2 linked regions of the Mus musculus genome follow. The protein of the gene in region 2 purifies or fractionates together with the protein of the main gene of each other region. This does not show direct contact. Links are inferred from orthologs where the notes say so. Each region holds a gene or a part of one and is shown on either strand. Other genes may lie near its edges.

The links. The genes of interacting proteins can lie anywhere in the genome.
Region 1: the proteins of Tuba1a (region 2) and Txndc9 purify together in Homo sapiens (affinity purification with mass spectrometry; 3 studies listed by BioGRID and IntAct, counting the BioPlex papers as one, with this or other methods). This does not show direct contact. The link is inferred for Mus musculus from reciprocal best matches to the Homo sapiens genes TUBA1A and TXNDC9.

The regions. Positions count from the first base shown.
Region 1 is NC_000067.6:37,993,686-38,000,029, forward strand, and holds the start of Txndc9 (thioredoxin domain-containing protein 9), read right to left. Parts: upstream 3,524-6,344; 5' UTR 3,424-3,523; exon of another isoform or gene 3,208-3,423; intron 2,157-3,207; 5' UTR 2,137-2,156; coding exon 1,948-2,136; intron 426-1,947; coding exon 307-425; intron 1-306. Other genes in the region: Eif5b (eukaryotic translation initiation factor 5B), read left to right, coding at 4,605-4,639. UniProt on the Homo sapiens protein: Significantly diminishes the chaperonin TCP1 complex ATPase activity, thus negatively impacts protein folding, including that of actin or tubulin.
Region 2 is NC_000081.6:98,949,973-98,956,245, reverse strand, and holds the start of Tuba1a (tubulin alpha-1A chain), read left to right. Parts: upstream 1-2,744; 5' UTR 2,745-2,792; coding exon 2,793-2,795; intron 2,796-4,554; coding exon 4,555-4,777; intron 4,778-4,909; coding exon 4,910-5,058; intron 5,059-5,231; coding exon 5,232-6,212; 3' UTR 6,213-6,273. UniProt on the Homo sapiens protein: Tubulin is the major constituent of microtubules, a cylinder consisting of laterally associated linear protofilaments composed of alpha- and beta-tubulin heterodimers.

The DNA.
Region 1 (6,344 bases), on a different chromosome or scaffold from region 2:
TCCCCAGCATCCTGAGAACACAGCATATCAAACGATTGTTTTGGTAAGAAGTACACGCATGCACTTCAGGTTGTCTTTGGAGTTACATGGAGAAGCCACAGGAGTGCTGACTTCCAATAAGACTGACTTATTTACTTGCACATTGCTGGCTTGTTAGTTAAATCTCTACAATAATGAAAGCACCTGTGAGCACATCACCACGCAGGAACATGGCAGTTATCCTTTTAATTTTCTCAGTTACCAAGTCAGCAGTGTGTCTACGTTAATGTCTCATCACCATAGAGATGAAGTCAGGAGCCAGGTTACCTGAATGTGGTGTCTCTGTAGAAATGGCAAACCACTTTCTCACTCTCCTTGACCTCTTGAAAGAAGTCTCTCTCGCTGCCGATTTCTCTGTACTCCCCGTGCCCTTTGGAAAGCCACTCCTAATTTCAAGAGAAGCAAAAAAGACCCAGCTGAAATGTGTTTCAGTGACACCAAGTGTCTTACATGTCTCAATCACTGTGTACTTCTGTAAAGGAATCAATTCTATAAATAGCAGGTGTTCCCATCCGCAGTTGGCTTTCCTATGCCGAAGTGGCAATTAGTGCAGACCTAGTCTGTGGGCAGGAGTGACCGTCTCTATGATGGTTCAATTAAGACAGTTTTGCATCTTATTGATTTACCTGCTTCATTTTAAGTTTCACAGTCAGAATTTAGGTCTGAGAGACATGACATGAAAATACCAATTTAACTTTCACATGCATGCTCTTTAAACTAGTAAAATCAGGATTGTTTGATCCAAATGATTACAAAAGTGTTTTTCTGTTTATTTTGTGATGCGAGGGACTAAACCAGGAAGAGCAGGCTAGGGAAGAGCTCTACACTTTAGAAAATAATGTTCTTACAGACAATTAAGGGATGCTGAGTGTGGGAGAAAGAGTGTTCTCCAGGGAGAGCACACCAACTGGCTATCCACTACCGAACGGTCAGCCTTGAAAATGTACACACAAGCAACATTATACAGACTGAGCATGGTATACTTAGAAACAATGTCCTATCCACAGCAAAAACTAAACAAACCAAACCACCTCAAGAAATAAAGTCCGTCTATCCTGGGGACAGTGCAGTCATCACCGCTCAGGAGCTTAAGAACCTATCCATCTCAAAACAGGGAGGGCTTCTACACCAGCCAACAGTGGGCAGAGTCCTCAGAAGGAAGAGTATTATATCCATGTGGGGTCCAGAGCCAAGGAAAAGCCTCACAAGGAAACGTTCAGCTTCCCAGGCTGAGGAAGGGCCATTACCCACAATCCTGGGAACTCTTCCAGCCCCTTCTACCTTTCCTGTGGCAGAAAGCTTGACACCTCAAACAGATGCTCACTCTCCCTCCTCAGGCAGCAGTGGCAACACCCACCCCAGCATTAACTGACCAGGGTTCTAATGAACCTTCCGAGCCTTCACCTTCTCTCTTGTAAGTCAGTGTGACAAACCAACCACGTCACTGAGTGGCCATGAAAACCACAAACAGAACAGGGGTGCTGGCGCTCAACTCCAGCACTTCGTAGGCAGAAGCGGTGTTGTCTGTGAGTTCTAGGCCAGTCATGGCTATACAGTGAGATCCTGCTCCTGTCCTGCCCCCCCACAAAAGATAACCTAATAAAAATGCAGAGTCTAACACTTAAATATCTTCTCGTACAGAACCATGATACTTCTTTCTGATACGTGGACCCTAAGCTTGGTCTATGAGAAGACGTTTCATCTCTCTTTTACTATCAACGCCCCAGTCAAATGCTTCATCTTGCCTAAACCTTCCCTAATGTTTCATCCCTGGGTTAAGTATTGAACATTGACGGAGATGTGAATTCAGAACATCCTGCAAGTGAGGAGGGAAAGTCACATGACTGCAGTGCAGTCGGGAGCTGGGCTCCAGTGATTCAGTGAGCAGGCGGGCGGGCGGGAGGTTACTTGTTTCTGCTGCTGAGCCTTCCTGAGCGCCGCCAGCCTCTTTTCTTTGAGCAGCTCCAGTTCATCTTCACCAATCTGATCCAGTTTCTGAATTTCAGAGTCCAAGTGATTCTCCACCAGCTTAGCGGCCTGGAGGAACTGGTTCTCCAGGACTTCTGAGAACATGTCGACGGATCCATTACCTTCCATTGTTCTAAGTGGTCTTGGTGCTGGGGGAGGGGGCATAAAAAATAAGTATTAAGTTTACATTTCGGGGGCTTTGTTGTTTTTTTTTTTTTTTTTAAAACAGGGTCTCTGTAACAGAGCCTGAGAGGTTAACACAACAGATGCCATGTTGGAGGCACTATTTTGGCCTTAGAACTCAGCATGTAGGCCCCAACACCTGCCAAAACCAGAATAAAGATGTAAACCATCAAAGATCTCATTTATGGTTCCAGAATCCAGGGAAATCCCTAAATACACTAGCTTGCTTTTCGGCATACTTCCTCAAAAATATCCTGACATAAACGTTACAAGTCCAGGTGACAGCCCATCGCTTCTACGACTAAAGGCAGGCTCTTGAAGCAGAGAGAAGTAATTACACACACGTCTACTTGTGTCCAACATCTGCTGGAGAACAACATTAATCTGGGAGTAGATTAATTAATGCAACCAAGACAATCCCTACTCTCTGAGCCATGCCCACTGGCCAACCTAATCTACCCAATTTCTCAATGAGTCTTTCTTCCTAGGTGACCGTAGATTATTCTATCAAGTTGACAGCTAAAACTAATCAGCTCACACACAAAATAAGCCTGGGCATGGTGGCTCATGATTACAACCTCAGCTCTCAAGGGCAGAAGCATAAGGGTCACACCTCATATTTGGAGCGATAGGCCTGGGCTACATAAGGTCATTTAAAAACTCCAACTGTCAGCTTCTCATAAATACTATACAACTGAAAAGAAGCTGTACTCCCAGGATCCCTAACTCGGGGAAGAGAGAGAAGGATCCGAGACCAGCCACTCAGAATCTGCATCACAGTATTCGTTTATCACCGAGAATTTCACAGGAGACCTTTACGTTTAAATGCGGAGCTTCACGCGACTAAAAGTGCTGCCCTGAATTAGGCGGAGGTGGTCACTGCCTTTATATTGGGGGTAAGGACATAACTTTCTATTTATTGAACCAAATCGAGTATTATTCTTACCGACGAACTGGGGGCCCTGACACCTATGTACTCCCCTACAAACTCCTAACCGAAACCCTAACCCCATGTACCTGTCAGCAGACTCTTCGCCACTCCCTGAGCTCAAGAGACTGGTGGAGTAGTTCCGGGGGGACCCGATTTCGCACTAACTGGGGCGCATGCGCCGTAGCCTCCGCAGCCGCCCAGACGAGGCCCTCCCAGCCGCTCCCTCGATCCCAGCCGAGGATGTGTCCTTCATCAACACTGGGACGCTGTGGCACTATCGGCCACATCACCCTCAGCCGTACCTGGACTATTGATGAGGCCTACGGAGAGAGGAAGCCGCAGATCAAGAATACCCACCGGGTTCACACAGGTTTCAACCTCGCAGCAATTGTTAAGGGCAGAGAAGGGGCTGTTAACTCCGCCACTTCATTGGCTACAGTCCTCTCGCGATACAATGTGAGACACTCGCGGAAAGGGCGGTGGCGAGTGACGAAAGCCTCGGAGAAGCCCTATCCTCCGCCACCCGGAACTACTGGCTTCCGAGCCTACGCTTCACGTGGGCTAATGGCCGGAGGGATGGGCGCTAGGCACGTTGGGAATTGTAGTTCTTTGTGCACTGACTGCGGGTCCCGGCTCTACCGGGAAACGAGCCGGGTCTTGAGCCTGAGTGACAGAGGGGCTTCATTTCTCGTTGTGTTTAATAGTTTCGAAAGTGTAGCTTACAGTACATTATAATTTATACACAGCTCACACTAGTAACATCGCCCCGAAACATGGAGAAAATTTTCACCATGCCAGGATCTTCCCTCCTGACTTTCTTAGGCACATGAATTTTTAGAACTTGCTCATACGAAGATTCATATTAGGGGACCCGTTGCTGTGTCCTTATGTCTTTTTCCCCTTAATAAATGTACACAGTTGACAATTCATGAGTGTTTCTGAGAGGGATCCCATTTTTTGTCCTGCCACCCCCAGAACGCTCATCATTGACTCTTTGTGGTCCTGTAATGGACTTCCCGCAGCTGAGGCCGCGTAGGCAGGGGAGAATTTTCAGTCCCACTTCTGCGTCGAAAGCCAGCCCCGGGAAGGGTGCCGACGTGAGAAATGAACGGCCTCATTGTCGTCCTCTAGGTTCTAGAACCCGGGATCCGCCGGACGTCGGTGCGCGGCGCTCACTTGCGGCGAGGGGGCGCCTGGGTTCCCACCTGGCCGGCGGCTCTACTGGAGACGCTCTAGCCGAAGCGCCGCTCTCGATGAGCCGCGCCCTGCGTCCCCACGCCGAGGCGGCGGGGCGATGCGCTTGCGTACTGAGGGCTCACACCATATGTGCCCTGTCCCAGTGCGCGGGTCTGTGGAGAGCCGGGTGCGAGAGGCGGCGGCGCGAGGGGGACCGAGCCGAGCGGGCATTGGAGTCAGCCGGGAGACAGTGGGTCTGTGAGACACCGAACCGAGGGGCCGGGGCCGCGAGCGCCGTTGACAAGCGATGGGGAAGAAACAGAAAAACAAGAGCGAAGACAGGTAGGCGGCGGGGCTCGGGCCGGGGGTCCTCCGGGAGTCGCGCGGGGCCCTGGATGGGCGAGCCTCGACGGGGCGCGTCCCGCGGCCGGGGCTCGGGCTGGGGTCCGAGGCGTGGGGCTGAGGGGCTCGGAGGTCGTTTGGGGGTCCGGGCGGTGTGGGGCCGGGCTCGGGCGCTGCTAAGCCAGGCCTACGGCCCAGGTGAGTGCGAGCCGGGCCCGGAGAGCCCGGGTGGGGCGGGCCGGGAACGGCTCCCTCGCCTCCCCTGGCCCTGGGAACGCCTCCCAGAGCGGCTCAGGAACTTCGGAGGTGCTCGGGGTTGCGGAGAGGTAGCCCAGCGGCTCCCTCCTCCCGTGTGCCAAGTTGGAAACACTTCTGGGGTTATTTAAAGTCCCGGTTGCCCAGTCCTGCTTTCTGGCTTTCCATTTTCCGGCCTCTTTTTTTTTTTTTTTTTGCGTATGTCTTGGCTTCCTACCGCTTCCCTTAAGAAAGGAGGAGGGGAAGAAACCAGTCAAGGGTCGCTGCTTTCTAACCTTAAAAGAAAAAGCCTTTTCAGGGGAAGGAGTGTGTGTTTATGAGCTACTTAGGCGGAGATTTGGGGAGCATGCCTGTGCCACGTTCGATTAAGTTCTTTTACCCTTTTCAGTTGAGTTGACTTCCTGGGCGTCTGCAACCATCTGTTCCATTTCATCTTTAAGTAATGGCCATTCAACTTAATTTAAAACACTACAGGTAACCGAAAACAAAACCAAGCCTTGTGGCACTTCATCGCTGTGGCTCACACAGACATGGTTTTGAAGTTAAAGCTGTTGAAGTGTATGTCGGAACACTTAAGTGTGTGGACCTCGCAGTTGGCTATCTGGCAAGAAGAATTTAAAGACTAGGCTTGTATTTTGGTTTTAGGTCTGTTGGAGAATGTAAACTGGTCTGCGGAATAGATTCTGGGTTTCTTGTGGCAGAGTTAGTGTTTATGAGGAACAGGGTTTATTACAGATTTAGATGTGAGCATTAAGAGGGACAACAGAGGAGGGTTCTGTAGAGCAGGGAAGCTGAGAACTTCCTCTAGAATGGGGGTAGGGCTTCTCAAAGAGTGGCCTGAAAGTTACTGTTAGTCAAATCAGGAGAATAAAAAGAGGTAAGCAGATATTCCTGAACCTTTGGTAGGACATTGGCATACGTGAGTAACATTTTATTTATTTATATTTTTCTGAGAAGAATTTTGAGTTCTATCAGTCATCTATCTATGTATGTACTCTGCATTGTCTGTTTCTGTGTTAAATCATCACCCTACCCTGCCTTTGCCGGTCTGCAAACATCATCACTTGGCCAGTTCTAAAATACCCACTTGTTGGACAGTCTAAACCAAATCTGAGGCCTTTCATGTGTACAAACGTCAGGTGTATCTGGAAGATAAAGGTTGTGCTGGGGCCCTGTAGAAATGTAACAAGACAACCACAGTTGGATTGGACTAAGGAATAGGAACTGTTTTCTTACCTCTAAAGCTAGTTTCTGTTTTCCCTGATAGCGTTTTTTAGAGTTGTTAAAACTGGGTCTCACACAGCTTAGCCTGGCTGCTTCTCTGTGTGGCCAGAGGGGCTTCCTTGAACCTCCTGACTCTCCTTCACCTTGTAAGGAATTACAGGAGTAGATTACTAGGAGGCTTCCTTGAGTTTTTAAAGTTTTTTTTTTTCCAGTTTATCTGTTTGAT
Region 2 (6,273 bases):
GACTAACATCCCCCTACTGGTCTCTATTCATATATGTAGGATTTCGGTGTTTAAGCGAATAGTCTATTTCTGACCTAGATCTTAAGTTATTTATGCTCAAGGGGTGAGAAAAAAAAGCCTCTCATTTGCATAAGGGACAGAATGGCTCTGAGTGGTGTGACAAAGAATCCTCCTTTTAATCCCCTGTAAAACAAAAGAACAGAAGACATTTCTCATCTTTTTGTATTATCAAGAAATAGAAATGAATCGCCATACTTGAAAAAAAATTGTGTTATACTTCATCGTGGCTCTGTAGTGTATGCTTTATTATTATTATTATTATTATTATTATTTGATGGAAGGAGGGGAGGCTTAGCTGGTAAAGGCACTTGCTACCACGGCTGAGAAGGTGAGGTTTGTCCCTGGAACTCCCACGGTGAAAGAAGAGAATCTGCTCCTGTAGTTGTCCTCTGGCCTCCAAAGACAAACACACACACACATACACACACACACACACACACACACACACACACACCCTCAAATACACATGCACACCTGCACAATACATGCACAAATGAAATAGTTTTTAATTGTGACGATCTTTTCAACAAGCTATTTGTCAATCCTTATGTTCTCTCCGCTGTTTAATTTTTTTTTTTTTTAATGAAGCACAGTTGGGATTTATTCATTACTATCAATTCTAAACATAAGAGTTAAGAGAGAAGTGATCAGAACAATATCGGAGCACATGGGTGTGGCCTTCTCTGAGAGAGCGCTGACACCATTTAGTTCTTGTTCTTGCTGATATACTTACATGTTAGAGGTAGTCAAGTCATCTCTCTTCCCTCTGCTATAAAATAATGAAGATGAGGGGGTTGTTTTTCCTAGGAAATATGCAAGAAGTAGACAATTCTTTGTTTGTGGGTTATATTGATTTGTTTTGTTTTGTTTTTCTTTAGAAAAGACTTTTACGATAAATTTAAACAAGAAAGGCAGAGCTGTGGACCTCAGGCTAGAAGAACTCATGGCCACCATTGTTAGCTCACAACCTGCAGCTGCTGTGTTCCCAAGGCTCTCCCTCCCACACCAGCGCCCTGCGCCTTGGGAGCCCAGCCGGAATGAATGGACTCCACAGGGCTCGCAAACAGAGCTGCGGGCGACCAAGACTCTGCTACTGAAAGGGAAGCCATCTGTCAAAATCCACATTTTTAGCTCGGTGCCCAAACAAATATCTCTTTTCCTCTAAAATTTCATCCTGCAAATTATCAGTGGTCCGCAGCTCGGAGACTCACTATATAGAGATCTTCCTTGCTGACAACGGAGCCTTTCTACATAGCAAGAGAGTGCCACTGTAATCTATTTCCTAGGAGTGAAAGCAAGGCATTTTTGTCCCAAGGGGCAATTGAGCAAGGACCACAGTCTCTGGCTGAGCAGCCTTGGGGAGAGCAGCTACAGTTCCCACAGTCAGAAGCCCAGCTGCGGAAGGGGCTATTTACAGAATTCAGGGAACTACATAAAACTGCAGCAGGGCTGGCACTGCACAGTTGTCTGGGGATGAAAACATCACAAAATGGTTTCCTTTTATATTATAAAACGCTCCTCTTTTTAATTTGGCATCTCAGTTATTTTTTACTTGATATCACCCCTCCCCCTCCAAAAAAAAAAAAAAGACTGGAGAAATACAAGCCCACACAAAGAGCTAGTTTTTAAACTCAATTCTTTCTCCTTACAGTTTCTGAATTCCATATTAGAAAGGATGGCTCATTTCTAGGGACAAAATAACACAGGCTCTGGGGTGAGGTAGGGTGGGGTAGGGGGGCGGGCACGGAGGGGTGATGGGAGAGAATTACAGCTAAAGAAAGAAAGCTCTCTAGTATTAAGTACTACTTTGTATATTATTTCTCTCTTCTCTTCTTTCTTTCTTTCTTTCTTTCTTTCTTTCTTTCTTTCTTTTTCTTTTGGTTTTTGAGACAGGATATCACACTATATATCCAGGGTGGGCACAAATTAGCTGCAATCCCCGGCTTCCCAGTGCTGGGATACACAGGAATAAACCACTAAGGCCAGTTAAGATGACCTTGAGCTGCAAGTCTTCCTGCCTCTGACTCCCAGGTGCTGTTGAGGTCACAGGCGTGGTCTACTCGTACTGACTTTTGCTCAAATAATAATAAAGAATAACAATAATACAATAACTATGAAACTAAACATTCAGCCACGCCTTTTTGACCACCCCCGTATCTTCTGCTACTTTTTAAAGCAAATAGAGATGTTGAATTCTGACAGAACGTAATTAAATTCAGTATATTAAAAATGAAAAGCTGGAATTTTCCAAAAAGATTCTAAACATAAATTCTGTGATTAAGTGTTGGGAAAAACCTTAGATGATTTTTAAATACAGTTTAAGGTTTAAACTACGTATAATCATCCAACCCCAGTTTTCTTTCTTCCCTTTCCACCCCTCCCCAACTCCACCCCATAATGGATGCTCGGCTAGCTGCCTTTGCACGGCCTTTGTCTGAAGGATGCAAAGTCTACGGATGCTAGGGGGAAGGGGTGGGGGAGAGATTACCTCATACCATGTCGCTTGCACCAATCACCACTCTCCTGTCGCGGCTTCTCTGGGCAGACAGAGGGGTCTGGACCAACAGGAAAAGGCCCTGGCCCATCCCCATGGTGACAGAGCTGTATATAAGGAGCCGCATCCGCCCAAGTGCCGCAGGTTCTCTTACATCGACCGCCTAAGAGTCGCGCTGTAAGAAGCAACACCTCCTCCTCGCCTCCGCCATCCACCCGGCAGCCGCGAAGCAGCAACCATGGTGAGCAAGCCTTCCCCGGCTCTCGGTAGATAGAGGGTGGGTGTCAGTCGCCCCAGATCTGCAAGGAAACGTCTAAGGCTTTGGTCACCTCTGCGGGGAAAGGGTGGTCTCCATGCTTTAAGTTTATCTTAGTCTTTGAGTCCCGCCGCCGCAGTGCGGGACACGGAAACGCCCAGACCGGGAAGAACAAAGGCAGCGCCGATGAGCTAGCGCTGGCAGAGCCAGGGACTGCAGGGGACCACGGGGACCGCCGGGGACGGGTGGGGGATCGAGGGTCCGCTGCTGTAGGAGGGCAGGGGCGGCGGCCGAGCCCGAACTCCAGAAACACCGCCCCACTTCGCTAGGAAAATGTTTAGTTTGCGTCGGATCCATGGCAGCCGCTGTCAGGGAGGCGCAGGGGCGGGGTTGTTTGTCTCTTGCTTCCGTGGCGTTTTGGGAGGGGTTGGTTCTCACTAAGCCTCTTCCGAGCGGTTTTTTTTTTTTTAATTATTTTTATTTTTACTTTAAAAAAAATCGTTGTGGAACTGTAGTCATGGGATGTTTCGTCTGCAGGGCTGTCAAAAATACGATTTGCTTAACGGGGACATCTCGCTGAGGGGGGAGGGGAGCTGGATGGTTGGGGAATGACAAAGCCCACTTTGTGAATCCTAGAGTACGCTGATGGTCAGAACCCAGGGAAACGCCCTTCCCCGCCCCCCACCCCCGCAGACAATGAAAGTAGTCCCTCCACAACAGACGTGTATCTCTATAGAATGAAATATTAGTGGTATGTAGAGATTCATAGGATAAAAATATTATTTTCTACTTTTAAATTTAGCTATCTTTTCACTTGTTTTTTTAAAAAATGTTGGCGCTCATTGTTTCTAACTTAGCCTGCTTTAAGAATATTTCCATTCCATACAGTGGAAAACCTTCAAAAAACAATGGATTTTCTGCAAAGAAAAAAATTATACTCTGCACCCAACCATCTTTTGTTCTAATAAATGTGCACTAATTCATTAATTCAGGCTAATGGCCCCAGCCAGGGTTAGGAGGGACCATGAAAGCAGCACAAAGAGATCGCATAGACAGCTGCTGGAAATAGAGCTTTCTCTGTTAAATAATGTAACAGCACAGGCTAGCACCAGGCACAGAGAACGTGGCAATGCAGAAATCAGACTTTGTCTAGCTTGTCGACTAGCCAAAGTACTGATGGGGTCTGTCTGCAGAAGGGTGTGGCTCCTGGCCTCAGCCGCACTGCAGATGTCAGTGTTGAAATAGAAGGTCCTATAGTGTGAGACTCTTTATTATGTAGCCTAGCCAGAGTACTGATGGGGTCCACAGAAGGGTGTGGCTGTTGGCCCCAGCCGCACTGCAGATGTCCATGATGAAATACCAGGTCCTATAGGATGAAAACTTCATCCTTACTTATCGGGTAAAGAAGCAATTAGTATTATTATGGATAATTATTTTGTTTTACAGAATCTATGCTTTAAATATTTTTCAAATATGAAAGCTGTTCTATTCAAGCAAGGCTTTGGAAACAATGGGTTTGCACCATGTCTTAAGCAGTATTAAGGTGACATCTAGGCCACACCCACTTTTGGTGTTTGTAGTGAGTACTCCTCATTGTTCCTGTTATTAGGGATGTGACTCCAAATAAATTTCAACAATATTTCTATTTTTAGAAACACTTTAGAAATCTATTAAGATCTAAAATAGAAATACAGCTTAATATTATAACAGCTTAATTTTATAATTTTTTTCCCTCTTTCCACAGCGTGAGTGCATCTCCATCCATGTTGGCCAGGCTGGTGTCCAGATCGGCAATGCCTGCTGGGAGCTCTACTGCCTGGAACATGGCATCCAGCCTGATGGCCAGATGCCAAGTGACAAGACCATTGGGGGAGGAGATGACTCCTTCAACACCTTCTTCAGTGAGACAGGAGCTGGCAAGCATGTGCCCCGGGCAGTGTTCGTAGACCTGGAACCCACGGTCATCGGTAAGCTGGCTGGGGGCTTCCCCAGGCATTCCTTCTTGGTCACATACTCAGAATCTCTCTCCAGACCCAGAAGGGTGAGTGAGCTTGTGTGTGTCCTCGGTGGCCGATGGCTGACGTCTTCTCCCTTTGCAGATGAAGTTCGCACCGGCACCTACCGCCAGCTCTTCCACCCTGAGCAGCTCATCACAGGCAAGGAGGATGCTGCCAATAACTATGCTCGTGGCCACTACACCATTGGCAAGGAGATCATTGACCTTGTCCTGGACAGGATTCGCAAGCTGGTAAATGCCATATATGGATGGGTTTAAAATGCAGTGGGAGGGTGTCTTGGTATCTGTCAGAATCTGTCAAGTCTTTTCTATCAAGCAAATATGGCTCCCAATCTAAAGGAATTGCAAATAGTGCTAAGAGTATGCCCTCCTAATAAAACATTACATTTCCTTTTCTCCCACAGGCTGACCAGTGCACAGGTCTCCAGGGCTTCTTGGTTTTCCACAGCTTTGGCGGGGGAACTGGCTCTGGCTTCACCTCCCTGCTGATGGAGCGGCTCTCTGTGGATTACGGAAAGAAGTCCAAGCTGGAGTTCTCCATTTACCCAGCCCCCCAGGTTTCCACTGCTGTGGTTGAGCCCTACAATTCCATCCTCACCACCCACACCACCCTGGAGCACTCTGATTGTGCCTTCATGGTAGACAATGAGGCCATCTATGATATCTGTCGTAGAAACCTCGACATTGAGCGCCCAACCTACACTAACCTAAACAGGTTGATAGGTCAAATTGTGTCTTCCATCACTGCTTCCCTCAGATTTGATGGGGCCCTGAATGTTGATCTGACAGAATTCCAGACCAACCTGGTACCCTACCCTCGTATCCACTTCCCTCTGGCCACTTATGCCCCTGTCATCTCTGCTGAGAAAGCCTACCACGAGCAGCTTTCTGTAGCAGAGATCACCAATGCCTGCTTTGAGCCAGCCAACCAGATGGTGAAATGTGACCCTCGCCATGGTAAATACATGGCTTGCTGCCTGCTGTACCGTGGTGATGTGGTTCCCAAAGATGTCAATGCTGCCATTGCCACCATCAAGACCAAGCGTACCATCCAGTTTGTGGACTGGTGCCCCACTGGCTTCAAGGTTGGCATTAACTACCAGCCTCCCACTGTGGTACCCGGTGGTGACCTGGCCAAGGTGCAGAGAGCTGTGTGCATGCTGAGCAACACCACAGCCATTGCTGAGGCCTGGGCTCGCCTAGATCACAAGTTTGATCTGATGTATGCCAAGCGTGCCTTTGTGCACTGGTATGTGGGTGAGGGCATGGAGGAGGGTGAGTTCTCTGAGGCCCGTGAGGACATGGCTGCCCTAGAGAAGGATTATGAGGAGGTTGGTGTGGATTCTGTGGAAGGCGAGGGGGAGGAAGAAGGAGAGGAATACTAAATTAAATGTCACAAGGTGCTGCTTCCACAGGGATGTTTATTGTGTTCCAACACAGAAAGTT